Linked DNA regions of Elephas maximus indicus. The protein of the gene in region 1 purifies or fractionates together with the protein of each later gene. This does not show direct contact. Links are inferred from orthologs where the notes say so. Each region holds a gene or a part of one and is shown in the gene's direction. Other genes may lie near its edges.

Region 1 (7,261 bases):
TGATCAGCTTGCCCCAGGCCACACAGCATGGAGGTAGCAGAGCTGGGTTGGGAACCTAGTGTCCACCTCATGACCACTCCCCCCGACTGTGCGACAAGGGCTGAGGGATGGCATGAGAGCCTGTCCCGCACCTGGTAGTGCTACCCCTGGCCTCTCCGAGTGAAGACCCAGCTGCAGACCCTCCTGCTCCCAGCTCACCAGAGAACATCTCCCCCTGGGCGGTGTAGCCTCTCTCCAGTGCCACCTGCATCAGTCTCTCCAAGGGGACACCGTTGGGGGGTGCCAGGAGAGTGCCTGCCATCCACAAGGCCACTAGCCCGCACCTGGGGAGAGACAGGCAGGGGCCCAGCCCCTCAATCCCTAAGTCACTTTGTTACTGGGCCCCCTCTGCCTAGAAGCTGGAGTGTGGGGATCAGGTTTGCTGCCTTGGGGGAGTTCTCCTCCCCTCTCCCAGGCCAGATGGGGAGACCTGACTCCCCACCATGGGACAGAGAATGGCCAAGGCCTGAGCCTAGGGCTGGAGAGATGAAGGGGTGGGCAGGGAGAAACGTCACATGGGTTTCCTGGAATACAAGGTGCCAGTATGGGGTTAGAGAGGATGGACCAGGTTCGTCTTTTCACCCGTCAGTTTCTTCATTTGCTCACTCATTCATTCCAAATCTCTATTCGCTATGGACACACCCGAGACCGTGTCCTGGCAGGTCCCCCCTTCCCTCCCCAGGTCGCTGGGGCCTTGTCCCAGCCTCCCTCTGGGTAAGCCCAGCACAGGCAGAGGCTCAGAGTACAGGGTGGACAAGGGGGTGGGGTCCTGGGTCAGAGAACTTACTGAGGGCCTTCTTGGATGAGGGACGGCAGATCAGCACAGAAGAGGATCCACTGCAGGTCACTTCTGAAACTGAATCAGAGCCACACTCGGGTCAGGCAGGATCAGCTCCGAGGGGCCCCTCAAGGTCCAGGTGGGGGCAGAGCATACAAAGATACAAGGACACAGGAAGGAAACACAGGCCAGGCCATTCTAAGGCCCCAGGGTGGCTCCTGGCTGCATCACTGACTTCCTTCTCCCCCATGAGGCCCTTGCCCTGTCTGAGCCTGTTCCCCCCTCTGGCCAGCGGGAATCATCCTTCCCCCTGCGTGCTCTCTGCTCCTTCTCAGTTACTGAGGAGGCAAAGAGCAGATATGCAAAAGCCATGCAACTAGAAGCCAGGGACACAGATTAGAGAAAATTCCTCAAAGACATGCCGCTACAGCTAAACCCTGTTTTAAAAAAAACCCAAACCTGTTGCCACTGAGTCAATGCTGACTCATAACGACCCTATAGAACAGCGCAAAACTGTCTCCATAGGGTTTCCAAGGAACGGTTGGTAGATTTGAACTGGCAACCTTTTGGTTCGCAGTCAAACGTTTAAACTGTTAAATAAGGTGAAAATCCTTTAACGTGGGTGAAATTAAATGGTCACCTAAATCCCGAAAAATTTAGGCTGATGGCCTAAAATAATAAGTCCTTACGTGTCTGACCAGCCCCCCCTTTCCTCCCCCTGGGGAGGCCTGGGGAAAAGTTCTGGTGATCCCAACCTCCTCCTTTCCCTCCAGGGCTCAGGAGAGGGCAGAGCCCCAGAGTCTTCATTTCCATCTCAGAGTCAGTAAGAGAGAGAGGCTGAAGGGGAACCCAGGGCTCCTGACCAAAAAAGAGATGATGTTACAACACAGTGGTTTAAAGTGCGAAGCCAACCTAAAAACCAAAAATCCGTTGCTGTCGAGTCAATTCCGGCTCATAGCAACCCTACAGGACAGAACTACCCCATGTGGTTTCCAAGGAGTGCTTGGTGGATTCGAACTGCCGACCCTTTGGTTAGCAGCCTTAGCTCTTAACTGCTATACTACCAGGGTTTCCAAAGCCACCCTGCCCAGGTTCAATTTGGGCCCTTTCTCTTAATTCTACAGCTCGGTGATTTCATCTCTGTGAGCCTGTTTTCTCATCTGGAAAACAACACAATAATAGCTTCTACCTCATTAGATTGCTAAAAGAATTAGATAGTTCAATACTTAAAAACCATTAGAGAAAGGTGCCTGACACAATAACGAGCTCATTTTATTTGTGTTTAATTAACCTCATCATGGTTGGGGCATTTAAGACAAATTATAAACTAAGAAGAGCTTGAAAGTTCTTCTGAGTCTGGACAAGTCAGTTCCCCTGATTCCTGTCAGCCAGGCAATCATTCAACTGGGTCCTCTTCACCTCCTTCCCCTGCCCACCACCTCAACCCTGGTCTGGTCCCCTCCTCTCCAGTCTGGTCCTCCAGCTTCCTCCCTGGGCTCTGACTCTAGTCTTACCACCTACCATCTACGTGTCACAGGTAGCCTCATCCAGCGTAAGTAGTTCCTCCTATGGCTCCCCAGAGCCCTCAGGGCAAAGTCCAGCCCCCTTACCATGGCCCACCCTGCTACCTCATGTGTGATCTGGCTCCTGTCCCCCTTTGCCACCTCCCTGTCTCAGTGAGGAAATGCTTGCAATTTCTTTAAAACAGCATGCTCCCCTTTAACTCTGGGCCTCTGCATGAGCCGTTTGCTCTTCATCATGCACCCCTTGCAAGACTTGCTCAATAGCACTCAAGGTTCCCCTTCTCCAGGAAGCCCCCTCTGTCCCCAGGCTGGGTCAGGTGCCCCATTTGGGCTCCCCCATCACAGCCCTGACCACTCTGGGCTGTCACTGTTTGGTGTGGGTAGTCTGCCTCCTCCACTGGACTAGGCACTTGTGATGGCAGGACCTTTCTTCATTGATGGAGCCATACCACCACCGGAGGGCTCAGTAGGGGACTGGTCCGACCAGGCTGTTTGACCTTGAGGACAAACAGGAAACCCCAAGAAGAGGATAAAATGATCTGGGACAGGTAGTTGGTAAGATGACTGGGTGGGTGAAGAGGAGACCCTACCGGTCCTTGTGCAGCTTCAAAAGCCTCTTCACATCCTCTCTGCCGGTGGGGACTGGGCCGGCCTTCTCCAAGGCCTCCTTCAGCAGCTGGCTCTTTTCCATGCCGAAGACGTGAGGGGGAGCAAGCCCCAAAGCAGGAGGTGGAGGCGGCAGTGGGGGTGGTGGGGGAAAAGGGGTCTGGAGACTCGAGGAAATGGGTAGAAAAGTTACATCCGGGGAATTTGGAGGCACGAGAGGTGGAATGGAGGCCTGGGGTGTAGGGGCGCTGGGAGGAAGGACTGGGGGCTCTAGAGATGAGCATGGAGAAGTCATTTCGGAGTACTTGAGAGCAGCTCGGTGGAAATGCGAAGGGGAAGGATCCTTCAAAATGCTGTTTAAGGTTGGCTGCAGAGATGGGGATTACGAAGGTTTTACAGCTGAGTCCTAGAACATGGGAGCAGAACAATGGGAAACGAACAAGGTGGACGCAGGGCTTGTGCAGGCTCAAGTCGAGGATCTGAGAGTTAACAGGGTGGGGTCTTTTAATCTCACATCCGCTAGTATGGGGCTGGGGCGGGTTGGTTTGCGGGACGAGAGGGGAGGAGATTAGGAGTTAACTTGTCCAGGTCAAGACTTGGAAACTCATGAGTTAAATTTCGGGATAACGGGCCTCAATCTTGGGGTGTAGCGCCTAACACGTGGGGTTTAGGAGTCTCGAGCTAAGGACTGGGGTAATTAGACTCTGTTCCCCACCCCCACCCCCAAGCCGAAGTTCGAACCTCTGAGCTGATCTTTGAGCCAGAGGTCAAAAAGGACACTGGGTAGAGAAAACTGCCTACTTGTAGACAGGGTCCTGGAATAACTGAGAAACAAAGTCTGCGAGTTGGGAAAGGCTCTGAGCCTTTCCGGGAGGCCGGAAAGAGCGACGATGCCCGTGGAAAATGAACGGAGTTGGAAAACACCCGCCTCCTCTCCTCGCAAAATGGCGGCTGCCGCACACAGGTTTTCTCACGTCACGTGGTAGAACTCGCAACTTATGCCCGCCCCTTCGGCAATCACGTGGTAGAAAATGGCAGTGCGGGCTGAGAGGTGGGGCTATCAAAGGATCCTCGCCGGAAGAAGCTGCAGAGCGAGCCGCGTCTCGATTGGCAAGGAGCGCGTGAGGGGGCGTAGCCTTCACTGATTGGTCCGTACGCCCCGAGGCATCTGGCGGCCTAGGAAGCACACAGGCTGGGGCGGGGTTTTCTCCCTAGGCGGGAACCCAAGTGTCGTTTTGATTGGCAAGCTATTGGTGAGGGAGGTGAAATTTACTCTGATTGGTCAAACTGCCAAGTTTCCACGCGGAGATTGGCTTGCGGGAAGGCAAAGGCTGGGTCAAGGGAGGAAGCTTTGTGGTCCAACCTCAGGAACTCAGGAGACGCTACTTGTGGGAGCTGCCGTCCGGTCGGTGAGTAATCTCGGTCACAGGCGGTCATCGGCGACGGGCGGGTGGCGCAGATGGAGCTCGGACTCTCCCGCATCTTGTCTGGAGAAACTTTCCCGCTGCATGAGCCCAGGATGCCCCAAATTTGTCTCCCCTTCCTTAACTGGTTTTACATCCGGGTGTTTTCTCCTGGGCCGCCCTTTGGGCGTGTGAGTCAATAGGAATCGCCATGTAGGACGCCCCGCCTACTGGGTCGCGTAGAGCATTCTGGGACTCGTAGTAAACCTCTCGAGGTTTCCCTTAGCACGCGGGGATTAGAAGCGGTTTCTGCCCCCGCCGCGTTGCCCAAACTGACTTTTTCCGGGAAGGAAGATCCGTGAGCAGTCCGTTAAACTAGAGTTGGGGCAAAGGATTTAGAAAAACCCAGGCGTGAAGTTCCCTTTTTCCTTTTCTTAGCCCTACCTCGGCATCTAGCTCCATGGCAGTTCCCGAGACCCGCCCCAACCACACAATTTATATCAACAATCTCAACGAGAAGATCAAGAAGGATGGTGAGTTCTCCAGTGGCCCAAGCGCTGGGCTGTACCGCACGAGTTGGCCCTTCCCATCGCTTCTCTATCTTTGTCTACTCCAGCCTGCCTGTTAGAGCTAACCCTTCGGTCCTCGCACATGCTGCGTCCTCTGACTTTTAACACTCCCTTAGTTGATCCACGCCCTACCCGCTAACTTGGCCACTATTGCTTGTCTTTCACGTCTCAGTTCACAGGACCATTCCTCCCCCAGGTGTCTCCCTCTGACTTATAGGCCCTGGGCATCAAGTCCTGATCACTCTGGGCTGTCATGTCTCCCCACCAACCTGTGAGTTCTGTGAGGGCAGGGACTGGAGCTCTCTAGGTCACTGTCATGTTTTCAGTGACCAGTCCACAATGAAAATACGCAACAGTAACGGAACATTCTGTACCACGTGGTGAGCTATGCACTTTTACATAAATTTCCATTTAACAATCCTGCTGGAAGAAGCTTTTGTTAATCCTGTGTCTCAGATAGAAAATTGACACTCAAGTGTGACTTGACTTGCCCAAGGTCACACAGCAGGGAAAGTAGCTGAGGCCACCAGTTTGGAGTTCTGTTTAAGAACATACTTGACATTGTATAGACTCTTCTATTTTCTCAAGCAAGTTGTCCCCTTTACTGAATCCCACTTTTTTCTTTATCTGAAAACTGGACTAACCCAAAAACCCATTGCCATCAAGCCACTTCAGACTCATAGTGATCCTATAGGACAGAGTAGAACTACCCGATGGAGTTTCCAAGGAGCCGCTGGTGGATTTGAACTGCCAACCTTTTTGGTGAGCAGCGGAGCTGTTAACACTGTGCCACCAGGGCTCTGAAAACTGGGCAAGATCATAATACCATGTTTGCATGGATGTTGTGAGGATTAAATTAGCTAAATCTCCATGCAGTGCTTTTTATGGTACTTGGTAGGAAGAATCAGGTAGGTGTTGGTTGTTATCACAAAGGAGCTGCTGGAATTAAATTTGAGGTTACTGATAAAGTTGCTGTTGGAAAAAAACAAAACAAGGAATGTAGATTCTGCACATGCTTTTAAACTATCACGCCTGGCCATGCTAGGTGGTGAGGTGCTGAGGGCACCATGGGGAGCAAGTCAGCCCTGGCCCTGCCCTGTTGGAGCCACAGTCCAGTGGAGGAGACAGACCCGTCATCTGATTGTGACAAGTCAGAGGATCAGGGCTATGGTGGGGAGAGGCCCAGGTGGAAGAATACAGCCAGGATGAGTAAGGGGAGGGGGTTGGGTATGTAGAAGGACAGAGATTCATTTAGTTTCAAAAAAAAAAAAAAACCCAAATCTGGACATCAAGTCAATTCCGACTCATAGTGACCCTATAGGACAGAGCAGAACTGCCCTGTATGGCTTTCGGGGAGCACCTGGTGGATTCAAACTGCTGACCTTTTGGTTAGCAGCTGTTGTTTTTGACCACTAGCCACCAGGGTTTGGTAGAAGCCCTCCAAAGCTTGAGGAAGCAGCATTTGGTGAGGGAGAAAGGTATTCATGACTTTGACCAGCTATATAACTACCTAGGGACAAAAGAGCCTGGGATGTTCTGGGAACTATAAGTAGTTTTGTGTGGCTGAAGCTTCCCATGAGCAAGGCACTCCTGGCTCTCGGGGCCTTCTGGGCTGAATGAATTGGTGAGCTTATCCTGAAGGCATTGTAGAGCTATGCAAGGGACACAGTCAGTTGTCGGTTGTGAAAAATCCTCACAGCTGGGAAGGGTGAACTGGAGTGGGCAGGAGGGGAGGCTAGAGGCTAGGCAGTGGTCCTGAGTCCAGTGGAATGCCTGGGCCTCAAACTAGGCGCATGAGGACAAAAGGTAAGAGATGAAAACTAGAAATGTCACAAAGAATTTCTGGCTAATTGCTTCAAAACACCCTTGCTCCCATCCCCCCACCCCAAACAGGTACACACACATTTCCTTCACCCATCCTCTAGTATCTGTTGTTAGGTGCCGTCGAGTCGGTTCCGACTCATAGCGACCCTATGCACAACAGAACGAAACACTGCCCGGTCCTGTGCCATCCGTACAGTTGTTGTTATGCTTGAGCTCATTGTCGCAGCCACTGTGTCAATCCACCTCGTTGAGGGTCTTCCTCTTTTCCGCCAACCCCATACTCTATCAAGCATGATGTCCTTCTCCAGGGACTGATCCCTCCTGACAACATGTCCAAACTATGTAAGACGCGGTCTCGCCGTCCTTGCGTCTAAGGAGTATTCTGGCCACACTTTTTCCAAGACAGATTTGTTCATTCTTTTGGCAGTCCACGATATATTCAATATTCTTTGCTAACACCACAATTTGAAGGCGTCAACTCTTCTTCCGTCTTCCTTTGCATTGTCTAGCTTTCCCGTG
Region 2 (7,785 bases), on another chromosome or scaffold:
AAACAGAAATTTATCCTCTCACAGCCTAGGAGGCTGGAAGTCCAAATTCGGGGTACCAGCTCCAGAGCAAAGCATTCTCTGTCGGCTCTGGAGGAAGGTCCTTGTCATTAATTTTCCCTTGGACCAGAAGCTTCTCAGCGCAGGGACCCCAGGTCCAAAGGATGCGCTATTCTCCTGGCTCTTGTTTCTTGGTGGTATACGGTCCCCATGTCTCTCTGCTCGCTTTTCTCTTTTATATCTCAAAAGAGAGTTATTTAAGACAAAATCTAACCTTATAGATTGGGTCCTGCCTCATCAACATAATTAAGATTATCCCATCTTATTAATATCTATAGAGACGGGATTTACAACACACAGAAAAAGCACATCAGATGACAAAATGGTGGACAATCACACAATACTGGGAATCATGGCATAACTGAGTTAACACATATTTTGGGAGGACACAATTCAATCCATGACAATGTGGAACAAGGGATAGCATTGTTGATGTTAGATAGATCCTGGCTGAAAGCAGAGAATACCAGAAAGATATTTACCTGTGTTTTATTGACTATGCAAGGCATTCGACTGAGTGGATCATAACAAATTATGGATAACATCGTGAAGGATGGGAATTCCAGAACACTTAATTGTGCTCATGCAGAACATGTACATTGAACAAGAGAGAGTCATTCAAACAGAACAAAGGGATACTGAATGGTTTAAAATCAAGAAAGGTGTGCATCAGGGTTGTATCCTTTCACCATACTTATTCGAACTGCATGCCTAGCAAATAATCTGAGAAGCTGGACTACATGAAGAAAACCGTGGCATCGGGACTAGTCGAAGACGTATTAACAACCTGCAATATGCAAATGACACAACTTGCTTGCTGAAAAGGGAAGAGGACTTGAAGTCCTTACTGATGAAGATCAAAGACTACAGCTTTCAGTTCGGATGACATCTCAACATAAAGAAAACTAAAATCCTCACAACTGGACCAATAAACAACATCATAACAAACAGAGAAAATACTGAAGTTGTCAAGAATTCCATTTTACTTGGATCCACAATCAATGCCCATGGAAGCAGCACTCAAGAAACCAAACAACTTATTACATTGGGCCAATCTGCTGCAAAAGACAAGTGTGCAAAAGCAAAGACGTCAATTTGAGGACTACGGTGTGCCTGATGCAAGCCATGGTACTTTCAATCACCTCATATACATGTGAAAGCTGGACAATGAATAAGGAAGACCGAAGAATTGACACCTTTGATTAATGGTATTTGTGAAGAATATTGAATATACCATGAACTGCCAGAAGAACGAACAAATCCGTCTTGGAAGAAGTACAGCCAGAATGCTCCTTAGAAGTGAGGATGGCAAGACTTCTTACATACTTTGGACATGCTATCTGGAGGGATCAGTCCCTGGAGAAGGACGTTGTGCTTGGTAAAGTGGAGGGTCAGTGGAAAAGGGGAAAACCCTCAATGTGATGGGCTGATACAGTGGCTGCAACAACGGGCTGAACCTTAGCTTCGCTGGTGAGGATGGCGCTGGACCAGGCAGTGTTTTGTTCTGTTGTACACAGTGTCACTATGTTCAGGCCAATTCAACAGCACCTAACAACAATAACAACAACAATCCAAAATACTCTCATTTCAACATGAAATCAATATAAAGTTATTAAGGAGATATTCTTCATTTCTTGTTTTATTAAGCCTGAAAAGCCAGTGTGTATTTGATATAGAACATCTCAACTTGGACCAGCCACCAATTTAAATGCTTGACAGTCACATGGGCTGGTGGCCACAGTATTGGAATGTGCAGGTGTGGAGGATCCGACACTGTCTCTTCATTTAACAACTGTGGACTGAGAACCTACTACACACCGGGCACCACGTGAAGAACTGGGGACTGAGGAGGGTACATAGAGCCATGTCCTCAAGGACCCACCATCCATGTCTGAGGGTCTCTTTTGTGGGTCAGCCTTGGGTCTGTGAGCTCCATGGGCTTCACCTACACGGTTGGGAAGGCCATGTGCGTCTGCCGCTTGGCAGGCATATGCATGCACTGTTCTAGAATGGGCCACATCCCTCACAGGCACTGACCTGTCATGAGATTTTGCTGCTCAAGAGATTTTATGTCCCTAAGGAGTGAGGAAAACACCAATGGAAAAAAACAGACTGAAACATTCTGGGTTTCCCTCCCATAATGGTGGGGGGTGGGGAAGGAGACAAATGAAAGAAGCAAGAAGCCCCAACTTGGGCAGAGATATATGCAGGTGGCAAAGTGCCTGGAACTCATGGGCTTGCTTCTTGAAGACACAATGAAACACCAATCTGTCCACCTTCAAATCACTATAGCTGCTATTTGGGGGCATCTTAGGTATCAATGCCCCTTAGATTCTGGCAAAGCAACGAGAATATACAATAGGAAAACATAACATTGAAAAACACCTAAAATTACTTTATATTGTTTTTCTGAAAATTGGGGATATGCAAATATACGCATGGTTTGAGAATCATGTCAAGTAAAGCAGACTTGATAAGGATTTTCTCTGTAATTCCTCAGCCTGGAGCTGCAGCCCTGCACCATCCACTGTACCTATGGCCACAAAAGTGATAGTCACCAATTAAGCCAGCACTGCCAATAGGTAGGAGCAGCAGCTAACTTGTGTCTCCTCAGCTCCCCCTGGCTCAAGGCAAGCTTTTTTTTTTTTTTTAATTGTACTTTAGATGAAGGTTTACTGAGCCAATTAGTTTCTCATTAAACAGTACACATATTGTTTTATGACATTGGTTAACAACCCCATGACACTCTCCTGTCCGGACCCTGAGTTCCCTATTACCAGCTTTTTTTGTCCCCTCCTGCCTTCCAGTCCTTGCCCCTGGGCTGGTGTGCCCCTTTGGTCTTGTTTTGTTTTATAGGCCTTTCTAATCTTTGGCTGAAGGATGAACCTTGGGAGTGACTTCATTACTGAGCTAAAAGGGTATCTGGGGGCCATACTCTCAGGGTTTCTCCAGTCTCTGTCAGGCCAGTAAGTCTGGTCTTTTTTGAGTCAGAATTTTTTCCTACATTTTTCTCCAGCTCTTTTCAGGACCCTCTATTGTGATCCCTGTGAGAGCAGTCAGTGATGGTTGTGGGGTCTGGTGAGGTAGTGGTAAATGTGGTCCATTAAGTCCTCTGGACTTATCTTTCCTTTGTATCTTTAGCTTTCTTCATTCTCCCTCGCTCCCGAAGGGGTGAGACCAATCTTAGATGACCACTTACAGGCTTTTAATGCCCCAGACGCTACTCACCAAAGTAGAATGTAGAACATTTTCCTTATGAACTGTGTTATGCCAATTGAGCTAGATGTTCCTGAGGCCACAGTCCCCACAGTCCTCAGCCCAGCAGCAGCTGGGTCCCTCAGGGAGTTTGGATGTGTCTATGGAGCTTCCATGACCTCAATGCAAGCTTTTGCCTCCCCTTCCATTCAATATTGAAGCCCCATTTCCCTCTCTGAGTTCTAGTACCCTACGTCATTGGTAAAGATTACGCCTACCTTGGTCAGAATCAAGGTCACCACCGTGCAAACACTTTGGAATCGCTAAAACCAGCTGTCAGTCTCTAACTCGGGGAATGCTAATTGCCTGGATCCCTGGAGACACTGAAGGAACCTTGCCTGGATCCTTGGAGACACTGAGGGGACCAGTGAAGACAGGAATAACAAATTGCACTTGTAGAGGAGAAAGTCTGGCCTGGGTTTGGATTCCCATTGTGCTAACTCTGAACTCCACTGTCCTCATCTATAAATCGGTTGCTAAAAAGGATAAATGATAGAATGTACATAAAGTGTTGGGCACAGGGTCCAGCTCATGGTGAATGCTCAGTAAATCCTAGCTGTCGTTTGTATTCTCGATTAATTATAACAACAATGACACAACCCAGCTATAGTGTGTGTATGATGGAGACCATCTATCACCCTTATTTCACAGGTGAGAAAACAGGTTCAGGCACTGCTCAGAACCCCTTCCCCGCATTCTGGAGCCAGGAGGGAGGGGAAAGGAGCCAGGGTTGAGGGGAAAGGAGCCAGGGTTGAGGGGGCTTCGGGAGGGGAAGCGAAAGGGACAGGATTCGAGGGAGCGAAGGGCGTGGTCAGCAGGGACTCACCAGTGGGGTTTGAGGGCGGGCCTATGGAGAGAGGAGGGCATGGAGAGAAGGGAGTGGAACCTAAAAAAGGCGGGCCGCGAGAAAGAGACCAGAGAGAGTTAGGGTCTGTGACTTTAAAGGGGGTTGAGGGGGTTGGAGGATGCCGGTCTAAAGCGAATAAGAAGGGTTAAGGCAGCAGGGAGGCGAAGTTTTGAGGAGGCGGTCTGAGGGGCCTTGGGAGGCGGGTCTAAGTGAGCGGGAAACAGGCGTGGAGTAAATGAGGGGCCAGGGAGGCACGGTGTGTGCGGGGAGCGGCTGGCGGGGAGATGTAGGACATCTCACCTGTCTTCAGCTTCGTGGCCTCAGCCCCTGAATCTGGCCGGCTCATGTATCTGGCCCTGGCACGCCTGCGGCTCCCTGGATCCCCGGAAACCCCAGGTAAGGCGCCCGAACCGCTGCCATGGCAACGGCGTCGCGTGAAACCAGTACCAGCGGGGGAGGGAGGGGAAGCCACGCCACGCCGAGGGGCGGTCCCGGAAGTGCGTCAGGCTCGCCTGGTTGAAGATTACTCGCTCGGCTGTCTCCGCCGCCATCTTGTGAACTCGTCGTACCGTCCGTGAGGGAAGGTGTCTTGGCGCAGCACTGCTGACCGAAACCAAGGCGGACTGGCAGCCCTGAGCGTCGCAGTCATGCCGGCTGGACCCGTGCAGGCGGTGCCTCCGCCGCCGCCCGTGGCCACCGAGCCCAAACAGGTACCGCACCCCCGTACCTCGACCGGTAGCCCCAGCCTAGGCCTGGGCCCTCCCCCCCGGCGCGGGTGTTCCTCACGCGTGCAGGAAGAAGCGGCCGTTTTGGAGGGACTACAAGTCCCAGGAGGCAGCGCGCTTCCCGTGCCGCGCTGCTCTTTGGTAACCAAGAGAATGTTGCAACAGTGGTTCTTAAAAGTGTGGTCCGCGTACCAGCAGCATGAGCATCACCTGCGAGCTTATAAGAATTCCGGGAATATCTGATTCCAACCCGTGTGAATAGGAACCTACGTTTTAACGTGCACCCAAGGTGATTCATATGCACATAAAATCTTGAGAAGCACTGATCAGCAGCCCACCCCCCCCCCGTCCCCTCTTCCCTGCCAGCCTCATGCCCAAACCAAAAAACCAAACCGTTGCCGTCGAGTCGATTCCGACTCATAGCCACCCTGTAGGACAGAGTAGAACTGCCCCATAGTTTCCAAGGGACGCCTGGTGGGTTTGAACCGCCAACCTTTTGGTTAGCAGCCGTAGCACTTACCCACTACGCCACCAGGATTTCCAAGCCTTATGCCCAGTAATCCCTAATTTTCCAGTCTGTACTTCCCACTTTTAGATGTTAATTGTCAGCATCTACAAGATAGTGTGCCAGGCTCTGAATGAGGCCCAGCTCCTGCTTTAGGGAGTTCACAGACTAATGAGAGAGACATATACATGAAAACTCAACAAATATTTATTGTCTTTGTCACCATAAATTACCCAGTTCACCACCACTTGAAAAGCTCTTAATCAGCTAAGGGGGAGAATGCCCATGGGTAATTGCAGCATGGTGGTCTATGCCCTGCAATAGGAGTATGTAACAGGGACAAAAATGGTAATTTAACCCACGCTGCTTTGATGGGGTAGAGGGGGGGTTAAGTAAGGTGAAGCCCAAGGGGTGAAAGATACATTGTTTTTAGAAGGATGAGTAGGAGTTTGGAGAAGGGAGATAGTATTCTTAATTCAGCTTTTATCCATTTATCGAGCACTTAGTATCTACTGCCTTGGGTTCAGAATACAACAGGGAACATAACCAGGCACTGGGGAAAAATAAAGTAACATCAGATAAGATAATAAGTGCAAAGGCACCAAAGTAGGCAGCCGATGATGCCCTGGTCAAGGTTAAATAGATAGTTGTGGTTGAAGTATAGGGTTGGGAGGGTGGTGGCAGGCAGTATAATTCTGAGGATTTGAACTTTTTGTAGACAGACAAAAAAGAAAAGCAGGATAGTGACGGACTGTTCTTCTACCATGGTGCTGTTAGGTGCTGTTGAGTCTGTTTCAACGCATAGTGACTTCATGTACAGTAGCACAAAATACTGCCAGGTCTTGTGTCATCCTCACAATTGTTGCTATGTTTGAGCCCATTGTTGCAGCCACTGTTTCAGTCCATCCCATTGAGGGTCTGTCTCTTTTTGGCTGATCCTCTACTTTACCAAGCATGATGTCCTTCTCCAGGGACTGGTCCCTCCAGATAACATGCCCAAAGTTTGAAACACTGAGACGAAGTTTTGCCATCCTTGCATCTAAGGAACATTCTGGCTGTACTTTTTCGAAGATGGATTTGTTTGTTCTTCTGATGGTCCATGGTATATTCAATATTGTTTGCCAACACCGTAATTCAAAGGCATCAATTCTTTTTTGGTCTTCTTTATTCATTGTCCAGCTTTTGCGGGCATATGAGTTGATTGAAAATACCATGGGTTGCCTTGGGCTAGGCACATCTTAGTCCTCAAAGTGACATCTTTGCTTTTGAACACTTTAAAGAGGTCTTTTGCAGCAGATTTGCGCAATGCAATGTGTTGTTTGATTTCTTGATTGCTGCTTCCATGGACGTTGATTGTGGATCCAAGTAAAATGAAATCCTTGACAACTTCAGTATTTTGTGTTTATCATGATATTGTTTATTGGTCCAGTTCTGAGGATTTTTGTTTTTGTATGTTGAGGTGCAATCCATACTGGAGGTTATAGACTTTGGTCTTCATCAGTAAGTGCTTCAAGTCTTTTTCACTTTAAGCAAGCAACGTTGTGTCATCTGCATATGGTAGGTTGTTAATGAGTCTTTTTCCAGTCATGATGCTCCCACCTTTATATAGTCCAGCTTCATGGATTATTTGCTCAGTATACAGATTGAGCAAGTATGGTGAAGTGATACAACCCTGATGTACACCTTTCCTGACTTTAAACCACTTAGTATCCCCTTGTTCTGCTCAAATAACTGCTTCTTGGTCTATGTGTAGGTTCCACATGAGCACAATTAAGTGTTTGAAATTTCTGTTCTTCGAAATGTCTATAATTGTTATGATCCACACAGTCAAATGCCTTTACATGGTCAATAAAACACAGGTAAACATCTTTCTAGTATTCTCTGCTTTCAGCAAGACCCATTTGACATCAGCAGTGATATCCCTTGCTCCATGTCCTCTTCTGATTCTGGCTTGAGTTTCTGGCGGTTTCCTGTTGACGTACTGCCGCAACCATTTTTTGGTAATCTTCAGCAAAATTTTACTTTCGTGGAATATTAATGATATTGTTTGACAATTTCTGCATTGTGTTGGATCACCTTTCTTTGGTATGGGCCAATATGGATCTCTTCCAGTCGGTTGGCCAGGTAGCTTCTTTCAAATTTCTTGGCATAGATGAGCGAGCATATCCAGTGTACATTCCTTTGTTGAAACATCTCAATGGATATTCCGCCAATTCCTGAAGCCTTGTCTTTCACCAATGTCTTCAGTGCAGCTTGGACTTTTTCCTTCAGTACCATCGGTTCTTGATCATATGCTCTCTCCTGACATGGTTGAGTGTTGACTAAATCTTTTTGGTACAGTGACTCTGTGTATTCCTTTCATCTTCCTGCATCATTCAGTATTTTGCTCATGGAAT
Region 3 (7,361 bases), about 11 Mb from region 1:
GCAGTCTTGCCCTCCACTCTACCTCAGCCACCCACTTTTTAAAATAATTAATTTTGTTGTTGAGAATATACAAGCAGAACATAAGCCAATTCAACAATTTCTACATGTACAATTCAATGACATTGATTTAAAATAACTGCTTTATTGTGATATATAAGTCACATACAGTTCACTGGTTTTAAGCGTGCGATTCAATAGCTTTTAATATATTAACAGGGGGCAGTGTTGGTTCAAGGAGCCCTGGTGGCACAATGGCTAAGTATTGAGCTGCTAACTGAAACGTTGGCAGTTTGAACCCACCAGCTGCTCCACATGAGAAAAGACCTGGCAATCTGCTCTCCTAAAAATTACAGCCTGGGAAACCCTAGGTCAGTTCTACTCTACCATATAGGGTCAGTATGAGTTGTACTCAACTCAGTGGGATGCAACAAAAACACAAATGGTGGTTCAAAGGTAGAATTCTCACCTTTAATGTGGGAGATCCGGGTCCAACTCTCAGCCAATGTACCTTCCGCTTGTCAGTGGAGGTTTGTGCGTTGAAATGATGCTAAACAGCTGCAGTGGAGCTTCTGGACTCAGATGAACTAAGAATGGCGATCTACTTCTGAAAATCAGCCAGTGAAAACCCTATGGGTCACAATGGCCTGATCTGCAACTGATTATGGGGCTGGTGCAGGACTATTGTGCATGGGGTCGCTGTGATTTGGGGGCCGACTTGATGGCAAGGAACAACAATAACGTATTCTCTAAGTTGTGCATCCATCACCACAATCAATTTTAGAACATTTTTACTATCCCCAAAGAAACCCTGCAGTCCTCATCTGTCACTCATCATCCCCTAATTCTGCCACCCACTGTCATGGTCATACCCTAGTCCTCATGAATACCCCTAACTGCATCCCTTCCATAATCGTTCTTTTTGCTTTTATTTTTTATTGAACTTTAGATGAAGGTTTACAGAGCAAACTAGTTCCTCATTAAACAATCTGCACATTGGTTGCCAACCCCACGACACGTCAACACTCTCTCCTTCTTGACTTTGGGTTCCCCGTTACCAGCTTTCCTGTTCACTCCTGCCTTCTCATCCTTGCCCATGGGCTGGTGTGCCCATTTACTTTCATTTTGTTTTATGGGCCTGTCTAATTTTTGGCCGAAGGCTGAACCTCAGGAGTGACTTCAGTACTGAGCTAAAAGGGTGTCCAGGGCCATACTCTTGGGGTTTTCCACAATCATTATTTTTATCATTCCGTTGAACGTGCACGTCCTGTGCCCTGTATTCTCGTCAGGGTCTCCCCCTGGATTCTCTTCATGCGTTTTCTTCTTTTTCCGGTCAACCAAGTTAAAAACATTTTCAAGGCTACCAGCACTAACAGTCAGTTGACCCTATTAACCCTAACATGTCTCTGACTTCTTCCCCTACCGTGTCCTCCCTTCCCTCTTTCCCCTGCTTACATCCCACAAAAACCACTTGCTGTCACATTGACTCTGACTCATGGTGACCCTATACGTGACAGAGTAGAACTTTGCTCCATAGGGTTCTCAATGGCTGATTTCCGATAGATCACATAACCAGGCCTTTCTTCTGAGGTGCCTCTGAGCAAACTTGAACCTCCAAACTTTTCGTTGTGTTCAGATGGCTAAGTATTTGACTACTAACCTAAAGGCTGCCAGTTTGAACCCACCTAGGGGTGCCTCAGAAACCCTGGTAGCATAGTGCTTAAGAGCTACGGCTGCTAACCAAAAAGTTCAGTGGTTTGAATCCACCAGGCACTCCTTGGAAACTATATGGGGCAGTTCTACTCCGCCCTGTAGGGTCGCTATGAGGCAGAATCAACTCGACAGCAACTGGTTTGGTTTTTGGTTTAGAGGTGCCTCAGAAGAAAGATCTGACAGTCCGTTTCCAAAAGATCACAGTCATGAAAACCCTATGGAGTGTAGCTCTACTGTGACCAACATGGGGCCACCATGAGTCAAAATTTACTTGATGGTGCCAAATTGTTTTCCACAGCAGCTGCATCATGTTACAACCCCACCAACAGTGAATAAAGGTTCTAATTTCTCCACATCCTCGACAACACTTGTTTTCTGCTTTTTCCATTGTAGCCATCCTAGTGGAGGTAATTAAGTGATCTTTTATAAATGTAAACTATGTTCTTACTGATCATTGTTGTTGTGTGCCATCGAGTGAATTGCGACTCATAGCGACCCTATAGCACAGAGTAGAACTGCACTATAGGGTTTTCTAGGCTGTAATCTTTATGGGAGCAGATTGCCTTGTCTTCTCTCCCTCAGTGCCACTAGCTGAGTTTGAACCGCTGACGTTTTACTTAGCAGCTGAGCGTTTAACTACTGCACCACCAGGGCTCCTTTCCCCTGATCAAACTCCTTTAGCTATCTCCTATCTCATTTAAAATAAGATCTGGCCCCTGATGTAAGACTTGACTCAGGCAAGGATTAGCAATAGCTGCTACAATCATTAGGTGAGGTTGGGGAAGAGAATATTGGCATGGTGTGGAAGTCTTGCTACTTGCTAGTCTCCAGGGGAGAAATCCAGCTTTAGGAGGAAAGACCTGGCAGCCAGTACACCAAACTCCATGGAATAGTAAGCCCATCCAAATTTATGTTCCTACAGATGTGAAGCCCACCAGGGATGTGTTTTTGCCAAAATGTTTAGCTTAAATCTACTCAAGCCTTCAGACTTAATTTCCATTTTTTTTGTTGCGATGGTGGTAAATACATAGGTAACAAAGCATTTGCCATTTCAACAGTCTTCACATGTACAGTTCAGTGACATTCAACATACTCATCATGCTCAACCATCCCTGAATTTTTCCATGCTTAATTTCCATTGTACAGGCAAAACAGGGATAGTGGAACAAAGTGAACGCCATGAGGAAACAATCAAAGAAGTATAGAATGTGAAACATTGTACAGGAAAATGGTCTGAGCTCACACACACACAAAAAGTTACATCATGAAAAAAATGTGTCTGTATTAAAAGGGATCAAAGAGACATGACAACCAAATACAATGTATGCCTCTTAATTGGATCCTGGTTGGGATGAAAACAAGGTATTCTTGGGGAAATTAGAATAGGGGCTGGATAAGCTTTCTTGAGGGTGTAAAGGACTTAGTGGTTATGTAGAATGCTCTTTTCCTTAGGAGGTGCATGCGGAAATATTTAGGGATGGTGCTGCTACAATTAACTTACAAATCGTTATGGAAAAAAAGTAGTCATGCACAAAAATAAAGCAAATTTGTGAAAATATTTTTTAAAGTTATGTGCTATTACATGTTTCCTGAAATATGAAATTAATAGTTAAAATGTCATAATTTCTGTAATTATTAAACAGGCAATTGAATCCACCCAAAAAGCTTAGAAAACCATACTTAACTCATTACAAGTCTAAAAGGCCCTAAAATAACATGACTTCCTGCCTAACATGTGGTTCCTGACATCTGGTCTCAACTCAGGGCCTTTTCCACCAGAACACCAGATGCCTTAGAGTAGATTCTCACTCATGGAGACCGCATGTGTGTCAGAGTACGACGGTGCTCCATGGGGTTTTCAACGGCATATCTTTTAGAAACAGATCAACAAGGCTTTTCTCTGAGGCTTCTCTGGGTGAATTTGAACAGCCAACCTTTAGGTTAGCAGCTGAGTGTGTTAACTGGTTGCCCTACCCAGGGTTTCCCCAGGGCCTTCGCACTGACTGTTAACCCCGCCCAGACCACTGTTCAATCGGGGCCTTTGTTCAAATATCTCTTCCTAGAGGGCTTCCATTATCATCTTTTTGAAAACAGTCTCGTTCTTACTCTTCCCATCCCCTTACTCTGCTCCATTTTCTTCATTGTGCCAACCACTACCTGAAATTATAATTAATTTAAATCACTTTATTGTCTTCCCCAGTAGAACGTAAGATCCACGAGGGAAAAGACTGCTTTAGTCACATGCTATTGTTTCCAGCACGCACTAAGTACTCGACATTACCCATCCACCTAACCACTATCAACGAAGGGACTCTTTGCCAGTCGGCGCAGGGGTACAGGCAGCACATCTCACTACGCACGCGCGCAAACCCGGGAAGTGTGCTAGGGGGAGGGGGCGAAGTATCAGGGGCAGAATCTCGCGGACAGAGGCGGTTGGAGTGGCGAGCCCGAGGGGGTGGTGGCAGGTGCAAAGCGCGTGCGCAGTGCGGATACCAGGCGGTAGCGGCAAAAGGAATTTAAGGCGCTCGAAGGCGGGGCAGTCACCCCGCGCAGGCGCCTTGCCCGCGGCGGAACCCGTGCCATGTGTGCGTTGTTCGCCCGTCGTAAGGCGCGTGCGCAGTGAGGCCGGCGGAGGGATCTGCGCGGGTCCCACCCCCTATTCCCGTCGCGAGCTGAGGCCGCGCGGGTTTGTGAGCAGCGGCCTGGTGCGCGCGCTGGGCCCGCCAGAGAAGCACACGGACGCCGACGCCGCCGAAGTCTAAGCTACAGCAGGAGTCTCTGTTGCTGAGGGGCCGCCGCGAGCCCCCGGACCAACGCCAGGCCGAGGAGGGCGCCGCGCGGCTGGTGAGTGTGACTGGCCTCACCGGGAACGGGATCGCTACCCACAAGCCCCTGCGTTGGGCCCCGGCCCCTCTCCTCGCGGCCGGGCCCTCTCCCCGCGCACCCACCACAGCAATATTCTTATCTGCGACCCTTACCCAGGGTGCCTTGAGCACTCAGGCCCTCGTCCCACAGCCCCCCGCGGTCCAGTACCCACAGGCCCTTGCGGTGTATTGCCTTTTTTCTTGTCTCTTCGCGGCGTCTCGGACCATTACCCACAATTCCTTTCCCCTTTTGGGTTGGGGGGCTTAGACCTATTACCCCCAAGCCTTTGTCTTGAGGGGTTAGCTATTTAAGATCCTCTGACCCCTTCATCGGTGACTTCGACCCTCGCCCCATAAAGCGTTCCCCATCTTACGTGGGACCTCCAGGAGCACGGCTCTGGGACTCAGGATCCTTGATTGTCTCCCCAACCCCCCAGGGACCCTTTCAGCCCCACAGTTCTTTGCTCACGACTCAGTCTTCTGTACTCAGAAACGCTTTATAGTCTTTGTTTTCCTCGTAGGCCTTTCTTCCCCCTAAACCTTCAAGACTTTGCTTTCTCTTTTAGGTTTATCCCTTTTGCGTGTGACATAGGGTCACTCTGCCCTTACAGAGCCTGTTTTAACATTGAGAGCTCGCTCCTGTTTCTCTCTTTCTTGAGAGTCAGGGGGTTTTAGGGGATTCATCCTAGCCAGCCTACCCTAATTGGTTCTGGTTTTGCCTTCAGACTTGGCAAGATGACCCAGTTCCTTCCGCCCAACCTTCTGGCCCTGTTTGCCCCCCGGGACCCCATCCCATACCTGCCACCCCTGGAGAAACTGCCACATGAAAAACACCATAATCAACCTTACTGTGGCATTGCGCCCTACATCCGAGAATTTGAGGTGAGTGCACTGAGTGGACGAAGAGCGGGTTGGGTTTTGGAGTCCAATCTTGGGCTGTTTTCTTGTTGCATGATTTAGGCAGGTGATTTATTCTTTGACTCTTAGTTTCTCTGTTTTAAATGGGATTGATAATGTATCTGTTGTAGGGTTTTTCTAAAGGAACCCTGGTGGTGTAACGGTTAAGTGCTCAGCTGCTATCTGAAAGGTTGATGGTTCCAATCCTCGCAGCAGTTCTGTGAGAGAAAGACCTGGCAATCTGCCTTCCTAGAGATTACAGTCTAGGAAACCCTATGGGGCAGCTCTCTGTCACACAGGGTAGCTGTGAGTCGAAAATTTATTTGCTGGCTTCTAAAGAGGATTATTCTGAGAATTTAGCAAGTAGCAGATTAGGATTCACGTCCTAGAGTCAGGTAGAACTTGACATCAACTGTGTGACTTTCAGCAAGTGGTATATCCTTTTAATGGCTTGATCTCTTCATCTTTACTAAGGTAGTATGTTCTCATGAGATTGATGCGGATTTAAACATCAAGATTTATGTGACAGATTTTGGCACCCATCAGTGAAAGACCATGCTATCATATTTATCGTTTTTAATTATTGATAAGGTGATGTTCAAATAGGGTCTTCACGGTGTACTAGAGTACTCAAAGCCATAGGCTCGGGATTTCAGCTGTGCCTTTGCAGGGTAACCATGAAAGCATAAGTTTCTGGCTCTCAGGTTTTTCATTTGTAAAATTGAGATAACAGCACCCACCTCCTGAGGTCCATCAAGTGCACTTGAGAAATGCTGGCACACAACCAGAAGTCCTAGAGAAAACTTGTGGCATCAGGTGGTTGGGCAGTGGATTCTTCTCCCTGTAGGGGAGGGGTGGCAGGAGTTGCAGAGCAGAGGTTAGCAGCAAGGAAAGAGTAGACGGTTAAGTCTTTAGTACTATTTGCCACCCTCAGTGAACTTCGCTACCCTCAGTGAACAGTACTTTGGAAATGTAACTAGCCAATTAAACTAATTGAATGGGTGCAAGCCTGTGGCACCCTTTGCTGATGGGAGTTGTGTGCTTGTTCCTATTTAATGAGTGGTTGGTGAGACCCCCCCCCAGATGATTTGAATTATCTGTTTCTGAGCACTGCATGGTCTGCTCCTTTTGTTTGAGGCCTGGCCCCAGTTCCCCTGCTCTCATGAGGAAGGGCCTTCCCATCAGCCCACAGGGTGTTCTGTGGCCCTCTGCTCACTACAGAACGGTATTTGGGGATTGTGAGAAGCAGGTCATTCTCTAAAAAGGGAAGATTAGAGCCTTTGATAATCTGTTCTTTGGTTAGATGTTTCTGTACCAGTGCTGCTCAAACTGTCTTTCGTGGTGAAGGACACATTTTTTTTTTTAGGATTTTCAATCTATTGCTGATTGATACTTCTGGTAAATATGTTAGATTTAGTTTCATTTTTCTGGTAATTTATTGTATGAAATATATATGTAATAAAATATTTGCTCTCCCAACTCTTCTGACACGTGTAATTTGGCGACATTAATTATATGCACCGTGTTGTACAAGCATCACAACTATCCATTTCCGAATTTTTTATTATCCTTATTTAGTGATTTACGTATTTATCAAGGACACGTGTACAAAATTCACAACCATATTTTTGTGATTAGGTTTGACCCTCATAAAACTGCCCTGCTGGGTTGCTGTAGAAGTTTCTTAATCCATCCGCCTGGTTTTTGTTTTTCCCTTGTCACCGACAGCGAGCCTTAGGACCATGTGTGGCTCTGTGCCACTCCCCGCCTCCACTGTGGCATATGTGAACTGTTCATGTTTGTTTACGTAGGTGGAGCGAGATTGAGATCCTCGTTTTCTTGGTAGGTGCCTCTTGCTGTTTTCCCCAGTTGCTCCCACCCTGTCACCTC
Region 4 (7,001 bases), on another chromosome or scaffold:
AGCCCAGGCCTCTGCCTGAGGTTCTCACATGCTTGCCTCCTTCTCCTTCCACGGATTTAGTCCTGCCTGATTCCTGCCTGTCCTTCACCCCAAATTCCTCCCCCAGCCCCAACTCTGTCTCCACACACAGCTGCCTGGGGAATCCCATGCAGTTTCCCAATGCTCTTAGAGTCCTCTCCTCTTCCTGTGGCCCTGCCCACCCAGGCCCCACCAGCCTCATTCACCCTGCTGCAGTTACTCTGTGAACCCATCAAGCTTCATCCTGCCCAGGGTCTTTGCACATGCAGGGTGCCCTAGCCTAGAACTCTCTTCCCCCGGCTGTTCTCAAGGCTGCTACTGCTTGTCATCAGGTCCCAGTTCAAAGTCTCCTCTGAGCAGCTTTTCCTGACTATACCTTTTGAGGGCAAAGGGGGGACCCTCCTTCATAGCATCCTCTTTGTTTCACATGGTACTTATCAAACGAAACTAAAAAAAAAAAAAAAACTATTATCTGTCTCCCCACTAGACTGTATGGTTGCTGAGGGAAAATACCTCACCTCATCTTGTTCACTGTTATTCCCAGTACCTGGCATCCGATGCTTAAGATCCCTGGGTGGCGGAAATGGTTTGTGCTATCCTGCTAGCAGAAAAGTTGGTGGTTTGAACCCACCCAGCAGTACTGTAGAAGAAAGACCTGGCAATCTGCTTCGGTGAAGATTAAAAATCCAAAACCAAGCCCACTGCCGTTGAGTTGATTCCGACTCATAGCAACTCTGTAGGACAGAGTAAGAACTGCCCCATAGAGTTTCCAAGGAGCACCTGGTGGATTCGAACTGCCAACATTTTAGTCAGCAGCCGTAGCACTTAACCACTACACCACCAGGGTTCCCTGGTGTAGATTACAGCCACGAAAATTCTATGGAGTGGTTCTACTCTGTGACACATGGGGTTGCCATTAACGACAGTAACAGTACCTGATGCTTAGGAGTAACTCAATATCTGTTGGAAGAAATGAACTTATTAAGCACTCGCTGTGTGTCAGGCTCTGGGGACACACGGGTGATTAAGACTAAGCCCTGCCTCTGAAGACTCATATTCTAAAATAAGTATGCCCCACATGGGCTGAGGGGAGGGTGCAAGCTCTATATAGGGTGCTGTACAATCATGGAGGAAGGAAGGTGCCTCCCTTCTCAAGCACCCCTCGCTGTGGCCACACACCACCTGTTTTTCTCTGCACAGGCTGTTTATGCCTAGCCTTTGCACTCAAGGGTGCCTTAGTCTGCACCGTTCCTCCCATCTTTGAACATCTGGATACTCTGATTCCGATCCCCTCCAGGCCTCAGTGTAGAGTACCTGAGGTCACACCCACCTTCGCCAGCCAACAGCCTGAGAACACCTCAGTGGCAGGCAGGGAACCTCTGCCCCGAACAGGTGTTCAGACATACTTGGGGAAAACCAAAACCAAACCAAACCCACTGTCATCGAGTCAATTCTGACTCATAGCGACCCTATAGAACAGAGTAGAACTGCCCCATACAGTTTCCAAGGAGCACCTGGCAGATTCGAACTGCTGACCTGTTGGTTAGGAGCCGTAGCACTTAACCACTACACCACCAGGGTTCTCCATACTTGGGGAAGAGAAGGCATTTTCCTGAGATGCCTGGGGCTGCTTGTCACTGCAATGATTTCCTGCCCCCAGGCTTCCAGACCACTGCCCTCTGCTTAAGGCTGCCTCCCTACTTTGGTTGGCACCAGCTCTGGCCACACCAGCTAGGCCATCTGTGGCCAGACCTCCCCTGTGGCCATGCTTGGCAGCATTCTCTAGGGCCCTGGGAGTCTTAGCTACCCCTCCTCCTCATGCCCTGAGCTCCAGAACCCTTGATCCTGAGGCCCCAAAGGGCCAAAACCCCAGGTGGCTGTCCCCAGCCTTGGCCCAGGCAGGCCACTCTATAGAAAGCTGGAGGTGATTTTCTGCGTGTGGTGGGTGGAAGGATGATAAGGGCAGGCAAGACCTTGGTTTTTGTCCTGATAACAGCTTCAGCCCTTCAAGCCCACAGCCACTACCAGATGTTAATACATGGCACCAAGGAACACCCCAAGAGCTGGGCCTGCTTGGAGGGCCCTGGCATCAGCTGGCAGCTGTCATCAGAGAAGGGAGGGCGCTCAGTGGCCCTGGGTGCTCACCACCTCTCAGCCTCAGTCTGCTCATCTGTAAAACTGGGAATAACAGCAGCAGTAGCCTCCTTCATGAGGTCATCATGAGGATTAACGAGGTACTGCACATACACCACTCAGCACAGTTCCCACCTCATAGGAAACCCCCTATAAATATGAGCCGGGACTCGCTCAGGCTCAGGAAAGGCAATGTCCTGCCCAAGAGCGTAGCTGAGCTAACTGGAGAGCAGGGCCTACACTCTGCGGCAGCATCAGACCCCTGCTCCACCCTGCAATAACAAAGGCGACCCCTCCCTCGTGTGAGGACACCATCCATGACAGCTCAGGGCCAGTCCCATATGCTTTGGCCTCTCCCTGAGTTGGCACCTCTTCTCAGCAGAGCAGGAACCACCGCACTCCCCCACTATCCCCTTCTCAGACAAGCAAACTCAGGCCGCGGCACTGCCCCACCAGTAGTGGCCTCTGCTTCCCCAAAAGGCCCCCTTAGGGCAGAAGGAACCAAGGGTGAAGACATGTAGCAAGAAAAGAGCTGACCACAGTCTGAGAAGGGGAAGAGAAGGGGCGCACTCGCTCTGTGCTCCCGCCCAGTCCCCTGCCCTTCTCTGAGCCTCAGCGTCCTCCACAGTTCCCCGAGGGGACACATCTTCCACGCGTCTCCGGCTGGACTTCCCGCTTCTAGGCAAGGTGGCGCCCCGCCTCACAGCCGGGACCGGCCCCACCCCGCCCCACGGCCGGGCGACAGGGGCCTCAGCTCCGGGAGGACAATGAAACCCCGACTGGCAAGTGGGGCTGGGGCGGGGTGTCCAGCTGGCCCCGTCCCGTCCGAACTCCAGAGCGCTGCCCAGGCGGCAGTCCGCCCAAGGTCGCGCGGCCGGACCCTCGTCCCCCGGGGCCAGGGTTAGGCCCTGGGGAGGCACTGACCGGGTTCGAGCGGCGGTCCCGCTGCCTCCGCCTCCGTCCTCATGACCCGGGCGGCGCGGGGCGCCCATGGCCCCGACCTGGCGCAGGCTACCGCTCGGGCTGGGGCGGGAGCGCGGCGGCGGCGCGTCTGGTCCGCGGAGGGGACAGAAGGCGACGGTCCGCGGCCCCGAGCCCCGCCCCAGCCCTGCCTGGCAGCGGCCCCGGACGCCCCGCCCCCACCTGGGCCCCGGCTTGGAGGCCCAGTCCCTTCCGTTCCCCAGCCGCCTGATCGAAGCCTGCCCCGGCCATTCGCTGTCTCGCCTTCTCTTGACCCCGCCCCTTTCCCTAGCCCTTGCGCCGACGCACAGGCCCGTCCCCGCGGATCCCCGGAAGCCCCACCCCTTTCTTGGAGCCCCGCCCCGAAGGCTGGCGCTCTCCCTTAAGTCAGGCTCCGCCCCTGTGGGCCTCCCTCAGGTATAATCCCTGGCCTGCCCCTTGTTCCGCCGGGTCTCCAGGAGACCCAACCCTACTCCGACTACTCTATACCTCAGTTTCCCTGTCCATATAATGGATACCTCGCCTCGCTCGGGGCGCTCCTTACCGGGCGGTGCCGGGTTCCAACGGCTAACTTGCGAGGGCAGGTCCTGGCGCTTAGTCCCACAGCCTGCCGCCCCCGATCCGAGAGCCCAGGCCCCGCATCTCCGCCTTGCCGTCCAACTCGGCCTTGGTGTGGGGTGCCTGGAAGCGCGAGCTCCCCTTTCCCCTTGCCGGCCCGAGTATCGGTGTTTCCGGCGGCACCCAGGCCCTGTCATCAGCACGCTTTTTCGGGGCCGGAACTATAGTGCCACAGCCCGCGTTTCCCATCCGGTTGGGTGAGGAGGCAGCCGAGGCGAGACAGCGCCCACCACCGGAGAAAGGAAGGGGGCTGGCCTCGCGCGCGGCATTCTGGGAACGCGGGGTCTTCTGGGAGCGCGGGACCGCCATTCGCTCGCTCACGCTTTCGGTGCTGCTGAAGTCGCTTGTCCACGGAAGAAGTGGAAGAGGAGGCCGCAGCCGGTGAGGAGAGGCCGGGGACGGGTGACGGGAGGCCGAGGCTCCCGTGAGGGGCCGGGGCTGGGGAAGGACGCGCTGCCTTGAAGTTCTGCGGGCCCCTGGGAGGGAGGAGAGGGAGAAGCCCGGGGCAGTAGCGTCACCTCACTCGCGCCTGGAAGTGGGTTTATTGGCTCCTTCCAAAACTACATATTTATCCTTTTTGTACACCTCTCCATGTCATTGTTTTTTTTTTTCAGTATCCAGAAAATAATACTGGAATCGTTTCTGAGTGATTACCTCCTTTACCCCAAATCTTGTTTGGAGCTTCCTTTTCAAGGTTTTTTCACTTCGGATCATCTCCTGCTTTCCACGCTGTTGCAGAAGTTTTAAATGCTGCTACGTGTTCATTGGGTCATTTCTTCGCATGATTCTGCAGTGGTTCTCTCTGTCTTCAGCATAAAATCCAAACCCCTAAAGCTAGAACTCAGGGATTCTCACCAAAGGAAACCAACTTTTCCAACTTCATGGTCCCTTTCCGGGGTAGCGTTGAGTCTCCTGGAATCCCTTTCTGTTCTAGTCTTCAGCCTTTGTTCATTGCAGATTAAAAATGTTTGATGCTTTTTTCTTTTAATAGGTCCAGTCAGGTGCTTGCCCTGGTTGGCTTTTTTCTATAAGATAAACCTTTTTGCTTATAGCATGTCACTTTGTGAACTCTTCGATATTTTCTTTTTAGCTTCAGTGGTGATGTAAATGGGGTGCCATGGGACACTAAATAGATTGACTTAAAAGCATAACTTCCTCCTAAATTTGTTGGTGGATCTTTTGGTCTGCGTTGTCCACTGTGGTAACCACTAGGCACCTGTGGCGTTTTGAGCACTTGAAGTATTGCTAATGTGACTGAGGAACTGAAATTTTAGTCGTATTTCATCTTTTTAAAGTTCTAAGTAGCTACATGTGGACTGTGGCCACTGTATTGGGCAGCTTGGGTCTGTATCGTAGGTTCTCAAAGTGCAGTCGCCCACAGCAGTGAGTTGGCAGGTACGTTTGTACAGTACATGCATTCACTCCCCTCCCTCCTGTAATATTGGCTAATGGTCATTTGGAGAAGATAAAGCGATCTGGTAGTGAGGAGGGAGACGGGAGGCACTCTCTTCATTCCCCTTAGCCTTTTCTGCCCAGCCCCACTTTTCACCCTACCCCTCATCTTGCACTGTTTGCCAGATAGTTTTTTCCAAAGGAGCTAAACACCTTTTTCAATAGCTCAGGAAATACAGCTAAGTTTTATGGAGTGCCAGACCCTGGTGGTGTAGTGGTTAAGTGCTACGGCTGCTAACCAAAGGGTTGGCAGTTTGAACCTGCCAGACGCTCCTTGGAAACCCTATGGGGCAGTTCTACTCTGTTCTGTAGGGTCGCTATGAGTCGGAATCGACTCGATGGCACTGGGTTTGGTGTTTTTGGTTTTTAGGCCCTGAAGGAGGCATGTGCATGCTATATGCCTGTTCTGGTTCTGAAAGATGAACTAACTGTTGTCTCTCTCACTGCAGAGTTTTCTTCCTGCCAAGATGTCTATTGGTGTGCCGATTAAGGTTCTGCATGAGGCTGAGGGCCACATTGTGACATGTGAGACGAACACCGGTGAGGTATATCGGGGGAAGCTCATCGAGGCAGAGGACAACATGAACTGCCAGGTACCTTGCTTTGCATATGAGACTGAAGGGGATAATGTGAGCCTGTGTTGGAGGACAAAACTGTGGTGACTAGAGCGCCTTCTTGAAGTTGGTCTCTTTCAACAGTTATTACTGAGTGCCTTATGAGTACCAGGCCCTCTTACAGGTACTCAGGATGTGGACATGAGCAAGAGACTTACTGTCTCGAGGCAGAAATGGTGTTTGGAAATTTGGAATATTTACTTGTCCTTTGTTTTCTCCATTCCATAATCATTTTCTCCCATATTTTGGGGGCTTTTTGAGATAAATGACACTATTCCTTTCAGGTTCAAGGCCATTATTAAGGCATGACATGTTACAGTTAGTAGCATCTCCTACTCACATGCTGTATTTACTTGCCATCTTCTTGGAGAAGGGGTCCCATTTGATTATTGCATCAGTTATTGTGAGGTAGGCAGGTTTGGTAATAGTTTTGTCATCTATGAAAATAGGATTCGTCTACTAAATGTCACTCCATTAGTATATGATGGCATAGCCTCCTGATCTGGTTCAATTCCCATGACACAATTTGCCCTTTTTCTCATAATCGTGATATTAGAGTCATTTTACGAAGTATAAAACAGCCGGTTAAGAGCATGGACTTTGAAATCAAAGAAATATGGGTTTGAATCCTAATTGTATAACCTCAGGTATATTAATTACCTCAGTTTCTTCATCTGTAAAACAGGGGTGATGTTATTTCGGGCCATCTGAGGCACAGACACCAAGGTACAATTAGATATGCAAGAGATTTATTGGAGGAAGTGACAGGAGAAAAGAGAGGAAGCAGGAGTGGGCAAGAGAGCCACAGTCTGTCGTGCAGGCCTAACACTGGTGAAAGAATAGAGGGAAGAAAGGATCGAGTAGGAAGAGCCTGGGGCTACATTGTAGCTCTGAGGATGATTCATAGCCAAGCATAGATGACTCATTTGAGGAGTCTGGCATGGGACAGAAATGGCCTGGCTCTCGTACCCCTGCCGTAGGAGCAGTCTGGGGAGAGTAGCCTTGGGGTTTATGCAGTGGTGGGTCTCAAAGGTGTGACACCCAGAGGCCATCAGCTCCGTGCACTCCTCACAGCCTGTTCTCCCTCAAAGAGAGATCTGAGCATCTCAGGGCTGTCACAAGAATAAGCCTGAGCCCATGGCCTGTTGTCAGGACCCGATGAGCTGTGTGTGCGGCAGCTGGTGTGCTGCCTCTCCACCTCTTGAG

What was found.
Region 2: the proteins of SNRPA (region 1) and SF3A1 fractionate together in Homo sapiens (co-fractionation; 3 studies listed by BioGRID and IntAct, with this or other methods). This does not show direct contact. The link is inferred for Elephas maximus indicus from reciprocal best matches to the Homo sapiens genes SNRPA and SF3A1.
Region 3: the proteins of SNRPA (region 1) and SNRNP70 purify together in Homo sapiens (affinity purification with mass spectrometry; 4 studies listed by BioGRID and IntAct, counting the BioPlex papers as one, with this or other methods). This does not show direct contact. The link is inferred for Elephas maximus indicus from reciprocal best matches to the Homo sapiens genes SNRPA and SNRNP70.
Region 4: the proteins of SNRPA (region 1) and SNRPD3 purify together in Homo sapiens (affinity purification with mass spectrometry; 3 studies listed by BioGRID and IntAct, with this or other methods). This does not show direct contact. The link is inferred for Elephas maximus indicus from reciprocal best matches to the Homo sapiens genes SNRPA and SNRPD3.

Annotation. Positions count from the first base shown.
Region 1 is NC_064829.1:110,909,080-110,916,340, reverse strand, and holds the start of SNRPA (U1 small nuclear ribonucleoprotein A), read left to right. Parts: upstream 1-4,246; 5' UTR 4,247-4,355; intron 4,356-4,787; 5' UTR 4,788-4,809; coding exon 4,810-4,882; intron 4,883-7,261. Other genes in the region: ACTMAP (UPF0692 protein C19orf54 homolog), read right to left, coding at 199-323, 827-895, 2,931-3,241. UniProt on the Homo sapiens protein: Component of the spliceosomal U1 snRNP, which is essential for recognition of the pre-mRNA 5' splice-site and the subsequent assembly of the spliceosome. U1 snRNP is the first snRNP to interact with pre-mRNA.
Region 2 is NC_064840.1:26,017,024-26,024,808, forward strand, and holds the start of SF3A1 (splicing factor 3A subunit 1), read left to right. Parts: upstream 1-4,785; 5' UTR 4,786-4,806; coding exon 4,807-4,869; intron 4,870-7,785. Other genes in the region: CCDC157 (coiled-coil domain-containing protein 157), read right to left, coding at 4,460-4,505. UniProt on the Homo sapiens protein: Component of the 17S U2 SnRNP complex of the spliceosome, a large ribonucleoprotein complex that removes introns from transcribed pre-mRNAs.
Region 3 is NC_064829.1:99,440,933-99,448,293, forward strand, and holds the start of SNRNP70 (U1 small nuclear ribonucleoprotein 70 kDa), read left to right. Parts: upstream 1-4,341; 5' UTR 4,342-4,554; intron 4,555-5,299; 5' UTR 5,300-5,309; coding exon 5,310-5,456; intron 5,457-7,361. UniProt on the Homo sapiens protein: Component of the spliceosomal U1 snRNP, which is essential for recognition of the pre-mRNA 5' splice-site and the subsequent assembly of the spliceosome. SNRNP70 binds to the loop I region of U1-snRNA.
Region 4 is NC_064840.1:23,012,570-23,019,570, reverse strand, and holds the start of SNRPD3 (small nuclear ribonucleoprotein Sm D3), read left to right. Parts: upstream 1-3,983; 5' UTR 3,984-4,110; intron 4,111-5,630; 5' UTR 5,631-5,648; coding exon 5,649-5,774; intron 5,775-7,001. Other genes in the region: protein GUCD1, read right to left, coding at 3,656-3,866. UniProt on the Homo sapiens protein: Plays a role in pre-mRNA splicing as a core component of the spliceosomal U1, U2, U4 and U5 small nuclear ribonucleoproteins (snRNPs), the building blocks of the spliceosome.